2 linked regions of the Stegostoma tigrinum genome follow. The protein of the gene in region 1 binds, or shares a complex with, the protein of each later gene. Links are inferred from orthologs where the notes say so. Each region holds a gene or a part of one and is shown on either strand. Other genes may lie near its edges. The genes, in order: map3k5 and disabled homolog 2-interacting protein-like.

The links.
Region 2: map3k5 (region 1) and disabled homolog 2-interacting protein-like share a complex: the UniProt entries of both Homo sapiens proteins name them as parts of the cytoplasmic complex. The link is inferred for Stegostoma tigrinum from reciprocal best matches to the Homo sapiens genes MAP3K5 and DAB2IP.

Annotation. Positions count from the first base shown.
Region 1 is NC_081357.1:44,909,005-44,918,555, reverse strand, and holds the start of map3k5 (mitogen-activated protein kinase kinase kinase 5), read left to right. Parts: upstream 1-6,087; 5' UTR 6,088-6,330; coding exon 6,331-6,706; intron 6,707-6,733; exon of another isoform or gene 6,734-6,924; intron 6,925-9,551. UniProt on the Homo sapiens protein: Serine/threonine kinase which acts as an essential component of the MAP kinase signal transduction pathway. Plays an important role in the cascades of cellular responses evoked by changes in the environment.
Region 2 is NC_081382.1:31,305,504-31,314,169, reverse strand, and holds the start of disabled homolog 2-interacting protein-like, read left to right. Parts: upstream 1-4,595; 5' UTR 4,596-4,832; coding exon 4,833-4,908; intron 4,909-8,666. UniProt on the Homo sapiens protein: Functions as a scaffold protein implicated in the regulation of a large spectrum of both general and specialized signaling pathways.

The sequences.
Region 1 (9,551 bases):
AGCTTCATATGTATAATGCTCTTTCATCAACCTCACTTCTAAAAACCCTCAATTGTCTCCCTATGTCATACAACTCTGACTTTCAGTTCTGAAGAAGTCATATTGGCTTGGAAACATTAATTATTTTTCTCCAGCATTTTCTGTTTTTTTTTAAATTTCTGGTTGGACCTTAGCTTTTAAGTGAGGATGAGAATTCTGAACTGGGAAACCACGATCTATACCCAGATTTTATTTGTGCTAATCTACACTGCCAACTCATTCCCCTGCCTTCCTCTTTTACTTGAGTCCTGAATCCACTTCTGAATCTTAGTTTCTGTCTCCTGTCTTTGGCTCTGACACCTACTTTCTGTTACTTCACCTTCAGTCCCAATCACTGGACTCCTACCCAGAGAGAAAAACCAGTGAAAAACCAGTAACACTTGGTCACACTGGACCTCAATTTTCAAACATACTCCAATATAGCTGTAGGTCTCATTCACAAGTTTTACTTTTTTTTCAATTCTTGATCGTTTTCCTCTCTGCCCTCCCAAATGCCGACACCTAGACCCCTTTTTTTCTCTGCTTCCTACTCAGAATCAGCAGCAGGAATCTAAGAGGATCCGCTGCTGAAAGTGGAATTTACAGGCTGTAGATTTCACAGGCTGCTTGTATAGTCATTCTGGGGGGAAGCTGTAGGAGTTGGCAACATACATGCTTATTGCCTGAAAACAAAAACATGCCGGAAATCACAGTGGGTCAGTCTGTATCCATGAAGAGAGAGAGAGAGAGAGAGAGAGCAAGTTTCAAGTCTTGATGACTCTTCATTAGAGCTGGTAAGCCAAACTTACTGCTTGGCTGCATTTATTCATGGAGCACTGGGCAGCCCAGTCATCATAAATCTATGCAAATTGTTTTCCTATGATGGGCATATATCTTTTTTAAAATCATTTGTAGGATGTGACTCTTGTGCGCAGAGCCGAAATTTATTACTCTTATCTAATTGCCTTTTAGAAAGTGATGGTAAGCTGCCATTGTGAACTGCTGCAGTCCATTTGTTATAGGTAGGCCCACACTGCCACTGATGTAGGACTACTGGAAAGAAGATACTGCGGACAGTTGCTTAGTAAAATCTGCTGGTAAAATACAAAAATTCTGAAACGGAGAAGCAGGACTGCAGGTTGCAAAACAATAATGTGGGCCTTGCAGCCCTGAATAGTTTCACTGCCCCTTCACAACTTACTGGTAACATGAGAATCCTACACTTTCCTCCATTCAACTGACCAACAGAAAGAACTTACATTTATGAAGCACACGTTGTGCCCTCATGAGATCCCAAAGCGCATGTCAGTAAATAAAGTTTGTTTTTGAAGTGCACATAATATTGTAATGTAATAAATGCAGCAACCAATGTGTACCCAGCAAACTTACTCAAAAACCCAGTGAGATAATGGCTACACAGATAATCACAGGTTGGTTGAGAGATACATATTGGCCACAAAACTAGGGCAAACACCCACACTCTTTGAAATAATGCCATGTGAACTTCTGCTTGCGAGGATAGATGGGACCTTGATTTGAAGTTATCGGCAAAATATGGCGTATCCAAAAGTGCAACACAATCAGTACCTACATTTTATGCTTATGACCTAGAGTGGTACGTGGCCATATCTCAACCTTACAGTTCTAGAGAAGAGTTATATTGCACTCGCAATGTTTACTCTGATTCTCACCAGCGAAGCTACCATTCCTGCTGGGATTTTTCAGCATTTTCTGTGTTTGTTTTAAACCTACCAGCACTGTCTCAGGAGAAAATACTGTCAACTGGACCAGAGCTGACTTAAAACAGCGAAAACTGACCCCACCCCCTTAAAACTAAGCAATACTTCTGTTACCAGCTCATAATAAAGTTTTACACATAATGTTTGAATCAACTATGTCTCAAGTCAACAAATTTTGAAATTGTAGTAATCTGGACTCTGCTGGATCCTTATTAAGAAAAGTATTTAATTACATTTTCAATTAGTTGAATGTTTTTGCAGAATAACAACATATCCACCCTGTTTCTTTGGTGCTCAAAATGAATGCTGTGTCTTTTTATAGGTGATTAAAAGCTCAAGCTGCCTGAATATAGTTAGTATTGCAGGTGGTTTGGATAACCAGCCAAAAACAGCCAAATGTTCAGCCAATGTAAACAATCTCAAGAGCTTGCTGTGAATTAAACGTGGAAGTATTGGCTGAATCTGTGGCACTGTTAGTACTGGTAATGTGTTGCAAAAAAAATTGAAAAGAAATCAAAGACCTATTACATAATTATATAGAACGGCAATTTATGGAATTCACTGAGATGATCGAGGCATTTTTGATCAACAGAGTTTTTGCATAATCATAAATATTGTAACAAGAGATTTCTATACTTAATGATTTTTTTCTGATACAATACCATGAATAGAGAATGACATAATGGTTCAATATTTTGATTCATCGTGAGACCAGTTGAGGAAGTGTTTTACGTTAAATGTTGATTCTCAAACTACAGTACTGTAATATTACCAGAAATAGTTTATGAAAACAAAACTGAATAGCTGGAAACTTGAGGAATGGGGTTCAACTCCTACTCTCTCAATTTTGGCAGTTCTCAGTGATAAATCTGGGTGGAGCATTAGTTGTTATTTCCTGGACGCAATGAGTTAGAGTATTTGATGAAAAGGAGTTGTGTCTGACACTGTATAATTAGCAAGGCCTTAATTTAGCTTGCTGTCAGTTTAAATGCAAAGAAAACCTCTAACCACGCACACAACTAACCGGCTGTATTAGATTCTTCCTGTTCAGTTTCAATACAAACAATTCCTCAGAACTGGAATATTACCCTTTATATTGTCATCTTCTTCCCAGTATAGCAACGCACAAACTGTTTATGGAAATCTCCTCTTCCAGTTTTATGGCAAGTCTGCCTTTTCCTGGTATTACTTTTGTTAAGTCAAATTCATATAGTTTGTAAAATTACATGACCAGTATTTCCACTTGAAAATTACAGTATTTACAATAAAATTCATCTTGTCTTCACACAGCATACTGAAATGCTTCAACATGATTTTAATATTCTTAATAATCACAATATACATTCACTGCACAACTAGTCTGAGTGTATCTACAGTTTTCAGCCCTGGTGTATGATAGCTGAAAGGCTACAAAAGCCATGCACACGTCATCTACAGTTGTTTGTTTAAAGTTCAGCATTTGGCTGAAAATGTCTGTGGTTAGAAAATATTATATATTGCATATTAAATTTGGAATGGGATATAGGATTCCGTCAGGAGCACAAAAGCTGACGTTTCGGGCCTAGACCCACCAATTCCATTTTGATTTAGCCACTTTCTGCTTCCCCCACCCTTCCCTCATACTTGATGCTTTGCATTACCCATAATGGTCTTTGCATGTAAATAATTAATTGGCTGCATTGAGAATAGTTAGTCAAAGGAAAATATATCATGGTGATTGATTTAATTTATTGTCTCATGTAGCTAAGTACAGTGAAAAGCTTTGTTTATGAGCTGTACAGGCAGATCATATTCAGCAAGGACACATAGATCATTGGGTGAAAAAAAAGTTAGACAGAGGTATATGTTATGAAGTTGCATAGAGTTCATGAATTAGAAGGATTGTAAGAAAGCTGATATGTCATCCAAGATATGTAAGCAGAGGGTTTTTGAAAATCAGGGTGAGAGCAAACTGCCATCTGAGACATAAGCATCTAGCTCTCTCAAGAAATCAATAAGCTGTCTAAGAAAGCACCATGTATCCATAAGAGGTACCATGACACTGTTAGTTAAGAGTCCTCACAGAAGAATTCATAGAGAAAACATCCCTAACAGCAAGATTAGTAGAATAAACGTGTTTATGATTGGAACGATAGCGGAGAAGGTAGAGCATTCCCAAACTTTGAGAGACAAAGTTTTAATTTTTTTTCTTATTACACGGGTTATATAAGGGGGACTTGTGTTTAGTGGAACAGCATACCAGTAGAATTTTGTTCAGTTAGGAAATGGTTAGGAGTTGGGGGAATTATTCAGTTTGTTAGTAATTCTGTTAATGCATTCACTGTTAGCATTAAATAAATAAATTGTTACTTGTTACTTATAAAGTAAATATCAGGGATTTTCTTTCATTTAACCGCACTTTTTCACAGATTAGGCGAGGTGAGGCAAGCTTCTTTGGATGATTTGGGTTTAATTATTGGAAGAGGACCTCTACTCCTGCTTCTAAGTTTTAGAGCAGATTTGTAGGTTGTGTTGTGAATGTTATTGTTAGTTGGCTCCTGCTGTAACAGACTGGGAGCTTGTGTTTCAACTTTAATTATCAGAGAGGTTCGACCTCCTCTCCATACCACTTGCAAGTTACATCGCGCAGGGTGTGCACTAGGCAAGATCGGCATTAGCAAGATCGGCATATTTTGAAGTTAGAGAATCCATTCATCAATCTAGTAATGGCAAAGAAAAGCAATTCTTGAAGCTGTTGGTACATGTGTTCAGGCTTCTCTATGTTCTGCTTGACTGAAGTGGTTATGGGAGAGCATTGCTGGATGTAATGGGTCTTTAATCATGTTGGCAGCCTTTCCACAGCAACAGGCCATGTAAATGGAGTCCACGGATGGGAGGTTAGTTTCCATGATGGTCTGGACTGTGCCCACACCTTCTGCAGCTTCTGATGGTTCTGGGCAGAGCAGTTGCCATACACCTGGACTTTCAATGGTGCATCTGTAAAGGTTGGCGAGAGATCTTGTGGGCATGCCAAATTTCCTGAGCTGTCTGAGGAAACAGAGATGTTGTGTGTCTTCTTGACAGTCACATCTATGTCGAAAGTCCAGGACAGGTTGTCAGTTATCGTCCCTCTGAGGAACTTGATGCTCTCCAGCCTCTCAACCTCAGCACCACTGATGTTTGGGGGTGTGTTCTCCCCTCTTTCTGAAATCAATGATCAATTCATTAGTTTTGCTGACATTGAGCGATGTTGTTCTTGTTGCACCACATCACCAAGCTCTCTATCTCCTTTCTGTATTCTGACTCATCGCTGGCTGATATCTGTCCTACCACAGTGGTGCCATCAGCAAACTTATGGATGGCGTTCATTCAGAATTTGGCATCCACGGATGTACAGGGAGTACAGTAGGGGGTTGAGAACGCATCCTGGGGGGGGGAGAGGGGGGGCTCCAGTGTTGAGTGTTATCATGGAGGAGGTGCAGTTGTCAATCTTCACTGATTGTGGTCTGTGGGTCAGAAGCATGAGGATCCAGTTGCAGAGGTGGTGGTGAGAAAGCCATTCGGTTTTATGTAAGAGTACTAAAGGATATAAAGTCCGGTTCTCAATAGACTTGCCAGCTTTGGCTGGAAATATTCCAGATGTCATCACGTGACCTTCTATCGTAAAGTGCCCTTCCGCCAGACTGAACATACCAATTATCAGCGAGCCCTACATTTTCAATGCGTCCTGGTTGTTAATTTTGACAGTCTGGCCACCCCACCCTTGACTAAACATCCTGTCAACCCATTGTGTCTAAACTTATCTGAGAAGAACGGGCACACTTCCTCAAGGCGTGGGCTCCAGAAATAGATTCCAGCAGGAATATAAATATACCTGCGGGAGGTCAAGAGGCGACGGAAGGAAATGGGAGGTTGGAGGGGTGGGGGGGAACGAGGTTGTCCCAGTTTGGGTGCAAGGGACCCGATGATTGCCTTGACGGGGCTCTTTAGGAATCCAGGTCAAGCAAAGAAAGATTGGCGCTCTGATAAATAGTGCCAACATTGACGCAGTGCATGAGTTACAGTTCACTATCAAAGGCGTGTTTGCCATCAACATGGCACACACAGTGTAGCCCATATTTGTAACTCTGTAAGATAACCAAAGATGCAGTGAGGAAATACATTTGAAACATGACGTGCATGTTTAAAAATCCCACCCAGAGCTCGTTCAGTGGTGGGGTACTCGCATAAACTCTATTGCTATACTGTACTCCACGCCTCCTCCTGGCGTGTTGCACTGGGCCTTCGGATTGGATGTCCTCTTTTGGTAATCGGACAGCCCCTAAAAATCTAGACTTGGGACTGACTGGTTAGTGTAACCAGAGCAGCATACACACAGGCAGGGGCGATCGGACTAATTCCTGCAAGTATTAATATCGCTGCGTGGAATCACGAGCTTTTTGCAGTGTGCTTCTTTTCAAGTTCATGTAATTCCTTCGTATTCCCATGTCTGTGAGAGCAGGTTGGTTCGCTACGCTCTAGCGAGAGGCGCAGCGGCGACATAGTGTCGCTGAAACAGCAGCAGCAGCGGCGGTTCCGCTTCGCTCTAACCGATATGAGCCTGGACCAGGAGGCGGCAGCAGGCGCGGCCCTTGAGGGAGACGGCGGGGGCCTCGCTGTCCCGGTGCCGCTCCTGTGCCCGGGGCAGGGCAGTGCCAGCGCCAGCAGCAGTGTCCCGGCTGGCACCTACTGGCAGGACCACACGGCAGCCGCTTCGGTACCGTCCTCAGTGCCGGCTGCTCGGCTCAAGAACCGGCCGACTACCGTGGTGTACGTGGTGAACGAGGCGGCTCAGCTGCAGCTCGCCGAGAGCCTGGCTCTGCAGTGTTTGAGGGAGGCGTGCGAGAGTGTCAGCGCCTCCCTGGATACTGTGCCTTTCGAGAAGCTGGACTTCGGAGAGACCGCCGTCCTGGATTATTTCTACAATGCAGGTAAGCTGAGAGAGGGAGAGCTCTGAGCCCTGCTGCTTCTGCACAAATGTCCTCTTTTCTGTTTTAAGGAAATTGAAGACCTCGAGTCCTAACATTGCCGTAGGTGACCTTTACAGTCTGGAATGATGCACCTTTTTGAATGCTTGGATCCAGCTTCATCCGGTGGCTCACTGTAAACTGGAGGGTGAAACTTGAGCCACAACTTTGAAAGAGACAAGGTTGGTGTTGGCACTGTGAATCCAGCCTGTGTCGCTCTGCAGTACCCAAAGTGCCGCTGTCTTTGCACAGATATTGCTTGAGTGGTGTTCGATCTGTTAGAGACTGGTGAGCAATTGTCTGTTTAAATTTGTTGCCATTTGTTCTGTGCATAGACCGAAGCGTTCAGAATAATGTGTAACAAATAAAGCAGGTTCGAAGCGATGTGTTGCAGTACTTCTCAGAAAGACCGTATTAATGGCGACTTATGTTTCTCGTGGAGATTGAAACCATGACCTAACAGTGTTGGCACAGTATTCTGACACGAGTAATTTGTATGGTGCTACTGTATGGACTCCACTGCAAAATCACTTTTGCCTGGACCAGTATTCCATTTATTTTTTAAAAAGCTAAATTTTGAGTTAAATGTAACGTTGATCTGCGTTCTGCCAAACTATTGATGTTAAGGAGAACACTACTTGTAATAAAATTTGACAAGGTTCAGTTGTGTTCATCTGATACTGATCTTCACCACAGGTGAGTAATAATCAATAAATGTTTAGACTGTTCTGCTTGGTGCTTTTCCTGATTATCTGGTCAGAGGAACATTGCATCTGCCTTATTGAAGGAAGAAAGCACTGGGAAAGTTAAGACCTGGTTGGACCAAGAATTATTCAAGAGGATTTATTAGAACGGGTGACACTAAGTAAAAACTGACATCACCAGCAGATGTTGGGATGTAGCCAAGGATACTGAAGGAAGCAGTGGTGGAAAGTGCAGTTTGTTTTCAGTTTGTTCTTGAGATGTGGGAGTCTTTGGCTTGGGCAGCATTTATTGCCGATCTCTCTACCAAGATAGCCGTTGACTACCTTCCAGGTCAGGAGTCACATGTTAGGCCAGAAGAGGCAAGAATGACAGATTCCCTTCCCCAAAAGGATTTAATGAACTCGATTTTTTTTTGTTTTGACATCTGATTACATGGTTACCTTACACTGAAGTTTATAATTCCAGATTGCATTTTAATTAAAGTTTCACCATCTGCCATGGTGGAGTTCAAACGGATGTCCCCAGAACTTTAGTCCAGGGTTCTGGATTACAAGTTCAGTCACATTACTTCCAATCCTACTTAGATACAGGGATGGTGTCAAGAGACTGGAGAAATGTAAGTGTTACGTCTTCGTTCAGAGGGTCTAAGGATAAATTTTAATGGGTAACACATTTCACGTGGGTTGCTGATGTAAAATGCACAAACTTCCAAAAGGCATTTGGTAAAGTGCCACATAGCCTTGCTGGAAACATTGAAGGTTCTTTTATCAGCCTGATCCCTGTGCAGACGTTGTTTTCTGAGAAGAGATTGGATTGACTGGGCCTGTATTCACTGGCATTAAGAAGAATGAAAGAAGACATCATTGAAACTTATAAAACGCAGACAGGGCTGGACAGAGTGGATGCAGAGATAGTGTTTCTGATGATGAGAGGGTCCAGAGCAAGGGGTCACAGTCTCAGATTACGCACAGGCCATTTCAAACTGAAATGAGGAGAAATTTCTTTACTCCGTGTAGTGAACCAATAGACTTCTGTACCACAGCAGGCAGTGGAGGTAGAGTTGCTGAGTATATTTGAGAAATAAATAGATTTTTAGAAGATAAAGGCATGGAGAGGTGTGCAGGCTGTGGTAGTTGAGAAACTGTCAAAATTATCCACATGGAATAGTGGAATGGGTTTGACAGGCCAAATGGCCTATTCTTGCCATCAGTTTTTGTGTTTCTATAGAACAAAATGGACAGTGACTTGATATGAAGTCGACTGACTGGAAATAGAAATGAGTGACAAATGATTTTCAGACTGCACAATTTCAGAAATTGCTGGTGATTTAAAATCTTTCTAGGTATTGTGGATGGTGAGAAGACTTTAAATAGAAGAAAGAGGTTTTAAAAGAACAAAGGCTAATGGAATAGGTGGACTCCTAGCAGATCAAATTTATTATAGAGATGTGTGGAAAGAGACATTTGTGTAGGATAAGCAAGGAGAGGCAAAGCAAAATAAATGACACACAATTCTAAAGTGGTTGCAGGAGCAGCGAGGCCTGGAATATAAGAGCCTGAGTCATTGAAAGTGGAAGTTTGAAATAATGATTTAAAAGGTCTACAGAATCCCGAGCTTTAAAAACATGCAGACAATGTAAAGAGCAAGGAAGTTTTGATGAATCTTTTACAAAATACTGTTTTTTGTCTTTGCTGGAGTTCTGGACATACCACACCATATGCCGAGAGCATCGCTTTAGGAAAGATACAAATACATTAGAGATTGGCTTTTGGGATGAGGTGTTTCGTAAAGGAGGATGGATTTGGGAAGTTTAAGTTTTCCCTGGAGAAGCAAAGGTGGAAAGGAGATTTAATAGAAGTGCTCAAAACCGTGAGGGTTTGCAACAGAAAGAAGTTGCAATTGGTGGAAAGGTCAGGCAGTGAGAACATGCTGCTATAAAGGGAAGCTATATAAACTCATGTTGTCTGCTTTTGGAACAGACAAGGTTGAGCGTGACCTGATAGAGATGTACAAGCCTATGATGGGCAAAGATAGAAATTAGCTGTTCCTATTAGCTGAAGGGTGAGTAACAACGGGACATAATTTAAAAGTGAAAGGCAGGAAG
Region 2 (8,666 bases), on another chromosome or scaffold:
AGGTATTCTATTCATGTGCTTTGGCAGACACCCTTGAGACATAGTTACTTCCTTAATATCATTCACAACAGTTTGTTCTAGGGAATAGCATATATAGGTTTATGATATGAAAATGGTGCATTTTTAAAATTAAATATTTATAACCTCAACTAAATGAGATTGCTACACAAGGATCAACATATGAATCTCCATTCATTTTAACATATTAAAAATATAAAATTATATTTCATAGTTAGTGTACATGCAGAATGCACTGACACAGAATGTTTAAAATGAAGCAGTGCTAGATAGTGGACAAAGACACATCCCTTCCTAACGTGCTCAATGCTTTCTATGCTCGGTTCAAGCAGAATTCAAGCACTGCGGTCACGCCAACTGTAATAGCCCCAAACATACCTGTTCCCTCTGTTACCAGTTCAGATGTCAGATCGTTCTTCCTAGGAGTCAACCCAAGGAGAGTGTTGAGCCTGGACTGTGTCTCTGGCTGAGCACTCCGATCTTATGTAGAGTAACTGACGGAGGCATTCACTGACATCTTTAACCACTCCCTTCTCCAAGCTAAAGTCTCCACCTGCTTTAAGGAAGCCACCATCAGCTCCATAACTAAGGAAGCACATGCAACATGCCTTAATGACTACTGCCCAGTGGCTCTGACCTCAATAATCATTAAATGCTTTGAGAGGCTGGTCATGGCCCACATCAACCTCAGTCTCCCAACCTGCCTCGATCCCCTACTGTTTGCCTACCGACATAACAGGTCCACAGAAGATGCCATATTCCTAGCTCTGCACTCATCCCTGGAATGTCGACACAGCAAAGACACGTACGTCAGACTCTTGCTCATTGTCTACAGCTCTGCCTTCAACACCATTATTCCCTCCAAACTGATCTCAAAACTCTGTGATCTTGGACTCTGCTCTGCCCTCTGCAACTGGATTTTCAGTTTTCTGACCCATAGGCTACAATCAGTGATGACAGGTAACTGGACCTCCTCAGCAATAACATTCATTATTGGACCCACCCCAAGGATGTGTCCTTAGCCCTCTTCTGTACTCCCTTTACATCTATGACAGTGTTGCCAAATTCCAAATAAACGCCATTTACAAGTTCGCTGATGACACCACTGTAGTGGGACGGATATCTAACAACGACAAGTCTAACAACAGAAGGAGATAGTGATGTGGTGCAGTGAAAACAATCTTTCTCAACATCAGCAAAACTAAAGCACTGATCATTGACTTCAGAAAGAGAGAACACAGCCCCTCTATATCAGCAGAACTGAGGTTGAGAGGATGAACAGCATCAATTCCTCAGAGTAATGATAACCAACAACCTGTCCTGGAATCGCTACATAAATGTAACATTCAAGAAGGCACAGCAATGCCTCTTCTTCAGGCAGCTCAGGAAATTTGGCATATCCACAAGGTCCCTCACCAAATTCTACAGATGTACCATTGAAAGCATACTGTCCAGGTGCATAATAGCCTGATATGGTGACTATTCTGCCCAGGATCATAAGAAGCTACAGATGATAGTGTGCACAGCCCAGACCATCATTGAAGCCAACTTTCCATGTGTGGAGAGATAGTAGAAACTGCAGATGCTGGAGAATCTGAGATAACAAGGTGCTGGATGAACACAGCAGGCCAAGCAGCATCAGAGGAGCAGGAAGGCTGATGTTTCGGGCCTAGACCCTTCTTCAGAAGGGTCATTTTCTGAAGAAGAGTCTAGGCCTGAAACGTCAGCCTTCCTGCTCCTCTGATGCTACTTGGCCTGCTGTGTTCATCCAGCCCTACACCTTGTTATCTCTTTCCATGCGTGGACTTCAATTATGCAACTTGCTGCTCCGGAGAGGCTGCCAACATCATCAAAGACCCACCACACCCCAGTAATGATCTCCAACAACCTCTTTCATCAGGCAGAAGATACAGAAGCCTGAATGCATGCACAATCAGGTTCAGGAACAGTTTCTTGCTAGCTCTTATTAGACTGATGAATAGACTCTCTGGCCTCAAAACGTGCCAATGTTGATCTCGCCGAGCACATGGCCTGTGCAATGTAACTTCTGTCGAAGTCTTTTTGATCTGTACATCCTTTGCTTACTATGATCCTTCTGTATTGCTTGTAAAGAAAGCTATTCACTGTGTTTTGGTACATGTGACAATAAATAAGCCATTCAATCAATCATAATATTAAAATTAGCTGTAAAATCAGTATGAGGCTTGGGCTTGTGAAGCATACTAGTTATTAGATTGACATCACTTTTGATTCTATACATTTTACTCAAATTGACATGTAGTATGTGTTTTTGGAAAGCCTCTTCCTACAACTTGTTCATTGATAATTTTAAACCTGTGATGTATTTTAAATAGGGATATGAAACTAAGATGAGTAATTCAAAAGAAGTTACAGATTAGATGTGATCTAAGTGAATATACTATTGGAATAATCCTAAGCGATGGAAGAATACCTGATTTTCTCAAGTCCTTGAGTATATATTCTCAGCTGCTGAATTACAAACCGTGGGCTCAATTTGACACACTTTGTGTTGTGATAAAAATACATTGACATCGCATTTCATGATTGACATCAGTTTGCAAAGCTATTCTCCAGTCTTGCCTGCTGTGCTACATTGGTCCCCATCATAACTCACTTACACTGACTTAAAACCTATTCATTGACTGTTTCTGTGTAGAAATTGCCTGATCAGATGAATATTGATAATAATATGAAGACTTGGCTGTTCCAATTTAACCTACAACACTGACATCCAACAAACAATGTGTAAAATTTCCCATACATGGCCTGTACACAAAAAGGGCAAATCCAACTCAACCAATTAGCAACAAAAACAAAGTTGCTGGAAAAGCTCAGCAGTTCTAACAGCATCTGTGGAGGACAAAACAGAGTTAACGTTTCGGGTCCAGTGACCCTTCCTCAACCAATTAGCACCTTGTCAATCTCCGCTCCATCATCATCGAAATGATGGAAGGGGCCATTACCCAGTGCCACTTGCAGAGGAGTTAGCCTGCTCACTGATACTCAGTTTGGGTTTAGCTACTTGTACAAAGAATTGTATAGTACAGGAACAGGCCCTTCAGTCCACCTTCCGTGCTGACCTGGGAGCTATGTACCTGGACCCCAAGACTCCTCTGTATATCAATGCTTCTAAGGGTTCTGCCATTTACTCTCCTGACTTCAGTACAGCCTACGTCCAAAGGTGGAAAGAGTTAAATGCCAGCGGTGAGGTGAGAGTAACTGCTTTTCACATCAGGGAAGCATTTGATTGAGTTTGGCATCAAGGAGTCCTAGCAAAAAAAAAATCAATGTGCACCAAGGAGAAGCTTCCCATTTTTTGGAATTGCACCTAGTATAACAAAAGATGTACATTTGCACCACATATGCACCAGGCAATGTTAATCTCTACAAAAGAGAATCTAACAACAATCCCTTGATGTTCATTGGCATTACCATTGCTGAATGGTATTATTAATTTTTAAATTAAATTTCTCGTGGTTCTCATTGAGCAGAAACTGAACAGGGTCAATTATATTAATACTGTGGCTACAAGAGCCAGTCAGAGGCTGGGAATTTTGCAGGGAATAACTCACCCTCTCCCAAATGCCTGCCCATCTCCAACCGATCACAAGTCAGGCAATACTGTCCATTTGCTTGGGTGTTTGCAATTTCAACAACTCTCAAGAACCTTGACATCACTCAGGACAAAGTGGCCTGCTTGATTGGCAACACATCAAATACCTTCGACATAAAGTACTTCCATCAGGCGCACATAGGGGCAGCAGTTTTTTTTTGCAATCTACAAGATGCACTACAGTATTTCATCAACTTTCCTTTGACAGTAGCTTTCAAACCTGCAACCTCCATTACCTCGAAAGAAAAGAACAGCATATGTTTGGGAACACTATTGTCTGCAAGATTACACTAAGCTACTCACCATCATGATTTGGACGTATATTACCGTTTCCCACCGTTGATGGGTCAAAATCTCTTTCTAATAGAACCGTGGTGTCTCACTATCCCAAGGGCTGCAGCAGTTTAAGGAGGCTAGTTCACCATCACCTTCTGCAAGGCAATTAGGGATTGACAAAATGCTAGCCCAGCCATTGAAGTCCCCATCCTATGAAACAATAAAATCATAGCAATTCGTTTCTTCCTTCATATTTCCAACAGTTTTAGCATTTTGTTTGTGCTTCAGAATCACGCCTGGCTGCAGCCTGCAGTCGTTTCCTGAGAGATATTAAAATGACATTTAACCTGCAGCAATGTCAAATGAATCCACACACACATTGCTGTATTGTCAAAGTTGCAAAAGTCTTCTCGCCTCTTGACATAGCGGATACACCCCCGAAACAGCTGATTGGTTGTCCGGCTTGAAACTCAACCTAAAAACGCATTTGTGAATGGTTAATATGTTTATCAATCAGAGAGATTACGGTATATGATTGGGCTGCCAGACCGCCTATCAAATTACTCCCTGCTTGTGAATGGGTTATCCACTCGTCAATCGCCTCGCAACCTTCAGTCAGATTGAGAGAAGGAGGCGGGAGGCGGAGATGCTCCCGCCTCCAGAGGCACGGAGGCAGGTGGTTTAATTCGGAATGAATAAAAGGCGCTGACTTTGACCGAAGATTGTGGGGAAATTATTTAAAAGTTGTCATTATTCGCCTGACTGGTTGGACGAGAAGAAGACAAAAAGGAATTGAAGTAGGACGTCGAACCTTTTCTGTTGGTGTTTGGGTGTGGAACGAGAGACGACCGTTAGTCGAAGTCATGGTGATGTGAGGCGGCCATTCGGCACTGACTTTGGTTCCATGGAGGCGATCATCGAGGGGGACTCGCTCCTTTACTTTGCTGCTAGTTTGTACCAGGGTTGGCTCCGAGTTTACGGTGAGTCTTGGCGGAGAATAATGAGGATTGTGCTGGGGAGGATTATTATGAATGTACCGCCGTGGGAATTCTCCAAAGCGCAAAGTTTCTGCCCCTGCAGATGTGTGGACGACAGGTGCAATCTGTCGCCTGGACTTTCCCACCCTCCACTCAAAATATGATAAAACATGACGAACGTGAAGTTGTCTAGTCTCAGCATGTTGGTTTGGCGATTAATTTCTCTATCTTCGGAAATCGGCAAGGTGTAGAAGCGTATGGGAACGCTATTTTTGTTTTTTTAATATTAAAACATGATTTTATTTTGTTATTTAGTCAAGCTGTGACCTTGCTTTAGTCCCTGGAACAGTTCCCAGGGCATGAGCGATTTACCTCCCTCCCCGGAGCGTGTTCTTGTTGGGTGTAGGATGGATACACGTGTGGTGGGAAAAGTGCGAACACCAAATGTGAATGAGGGTGTGTGCATGCCGCTATCGCAGATGCAAGTGCCAACTTGGTGGTAGACTATAAATTGTCAGCTGAAATGTTGTGGACCTAAACAGAATGGGGTGCATTGAGGCGAAAAAAAATTGAGTAGAACATCTCGAATTTGACACGAGTCAAAGCGCGGGCACAGCACGCCCATCACGGGACGTGCCATTATTCAAACTGGCTGAAGAATGTGCGCTAATCTTTGCATGTACTGGTTAGATAAACCTATTGGAAGAGAAGTGCAGGTTTCGGGCAGCTTTTCAAGATGTGGAAAATGTGCAGAGCATGCGTAGGTGGTGCAGTTGAGTTGTGGGTGTCGTGTTAAGCTTGCATGTTGGCCACTGAAGGTATGCATTGACTTTGAAGGACATGTATAGACTGATTATGGTACGTGTAGGCTATGTTATGAAAAACACTTGTACATGAGACAGTGATCAGGTGTAAGCAGTAGTGTTTAGCAGTATACTGTTTCCTTGTCCTGTTTTGGATATTGTGCAAAATCATTTTAACACATGATGTACTTGCTGCCAAGGAACATGTTATCATGCATTTAGGTGTTTGAATAACATTTTAATTTTCAGCTTTAGCTAGCACATTTCATGTTTGCCAATCATCAACACATCAGTTTCTGTAAAAGCATTAAGAATCTTGGTCAACTGAACAAAGTACTAAAATTAGCTACCAGCGGACTGCATGATAGCTTAGTAGTATAAAATAGAGGCTTGGTAAAGTTCTTGCTGTATGTATTGCTTGTTTTGTAAATATGCAGTTCTGTCTTGCAGTGTACCATATTCTTAATCAGTTATGAATATTGTCCAATTTTGAGTTTTACTGTTTGTAAATATTCTCTTTTTGGCCCTAAAGGGCCTTGCTACAGTACACTTCTGTGGTGTCTGTCACACTTGTAGTACCTTGCATAAATTGATATTATTCATTTGTTAGCATAGGATGTATGATGGAGAGTCAGGGTTAGTGTAAAATAACTTGCTTTTTTTAATAGTGCTCCTCAGAACTGCCAAAAAGCTTTTACAGGCACTGAAATACCTTAAGTGTAATACCGAAATACCATTTATAAGTAATGTGGGAAACAACAGCCAATTTGTATGCAGGAAGTGCTTAAATATGAAGGTATGTCTTATGGTAATTTCACTCATGATGCTGAATAACAGGTAATTATTAGGTAGAATAACTGCTCTTCTGTGAATAGTGCCATGAGATATTCTACATTAACAAACAGGCAGATGGAGTCTTAATTGAATGTCTCATTTGAACATGGCGCTGCAGACATTGCACCTGTTCTTCTGCACTAAACTGAAGTGTTAGTAAGACACTTTATTCAAGCTCTGGAGTGGGACTCGATGGAAAGTTGTGACTCAGATGAACTACAGCTGTCGCTCAGTTTAACAACCTTAATCCTGTTTTATGAATAAGAAGAGGCTCAAAGGGATTGTAAGTGATGCATTATATTATCCCTTGATTGAGATGGAATCAGCTGAGACATCTTCGCCTTTGGAAAAGAAAGATGACTTTTGCTAATTTGTTCGCATTACTAGTTTAGTTGATGAGGGTATCCCAGTAGTTGTTGTCAGCTTGGAATTTCAAAACACTTTTCATACAGTATCTCCTATTAAACTTACTTCCATTATCAAAGCTTATGAAATTAATGAGAAGCTACGACGGGAGATGTAGATTTTTAGCTTAATTTTTTTGGGATAGTTATTGTCAGTTACTATGGATCTAGCTGGAGACCAGTTTCCAGTGATGTTGCAAAGAAAACTGCATTGGGGTCTTTACTTTTCAGTAACTTAGCACCCTTCAAATAGAGGGAATTATCTTGTGCGTGATGCATAGACCTATGGAAGTCTTACGATTGAAGAAAACAATAAACAACTGCAAGCAGGTCATGATGATGTTTTGGAGGAATAGACGTTGATATTTGGCAACTGATGTTGCATTGGGAAAAGGTGTATGTGCATGATTGATGTTCTGTATATAAATTTTTTTTTCTTTAGGGAACTGAACTGAAGTCTAGGAGATTCCAAGATTCAGTTTCTCAACCACTGTGAAGCTTATGGTGAACATCTTGGAACAGTCCCAGTGACCATCTTGTCTAGTAAGGAAGAGGATGGGAACTTCTGCCTATGATATTGATCCAAGTTGGCGCATGTTCTTTGACTGCCTCAGTGGAAAATATTCCCATTTCGGGCCCAAACCCTGATGGAGGCAAGGCATTAAGGCATTCATCTGAAGTGATGGATGGCTGGACTGTCTCAAGATGAGGCATGGCAGGAGTGACAGATGATAGGCAAGACTATTTTGGAATGCATATGTGCCAAGAACCTGGATTTGGATTGCCACCAGAACTCAGATTGTTGGTTGAGCTGAGCTGCCACTTGGCAAATCTTTATGCTGGCTTCAGCTTAATGCCAATTCAGTGACCAGCCGACCAGAGCTATGGCCTCTGCTAGTGCCCATGTCCCAGGCCAGGCGGTCTGAAATACAGTCAGGGTGACTATGAAGAAGGTGGAGGAAGGATTTCTCGTTGACCGGACCTTCTTTGGGAAGAGAGTCCTCCTGGATTGCTGTGCTTTCCAAGCAGCAGATATTTTCTGTCTGCAGGAGTTCCCTAGCAGTGGCCAATTTGACATAACATTCAGACCTGTGAAGCAATATGAATGTCTGCTGACGGTATTTGAGGAGAAAGGTGGTGAGGATTGCCTCTCTGCCCTGTCTGTGGCACCATTGTTTGCACTCACTGCACAGAGTAGCAGGTATAACCCCTATGCCCTGGCAGCAAATGTCCTAACCTTCCTGGGTAGGTATCTAAGCTTCAAGGAGGCAGCACCAATGTATAGTGGACCCCTTTGGAATCTGGACCAGCAAAGAGCGGTTAATGGTGACTCTGAAGGTGGACGCTATTGGCACATCCTCCAGCTTTGTGATCGGAGGGATTTGAGGCTACCTGATATGTGGGCCAGTCCAAGTGAGTGCCGAACTGATGGGAGATGAGGGTGTATTGCACTCTGCTGATAAATGGCCCTCTCCAGGAATTGCAAACTGGAGAGCCACTTGACTGCAAAGGGCCCAAGCGTTGCAACCTGTCTAGGGAAGTGAGTCAGCTGTATAAGGCCTCCCCAAGATGGAGGATGCACCACATATGCTCAGATTGCCAGAATTGGCAATGGAAGCCGTAGACACCCAAAAGGCAGTAAGGTGCCATCCATCAGTAAGAAACCTGAAAAAGATACCCAGAAGGAGGGACAGGCCAGACAGGAGGAAAAGAGCCTGTG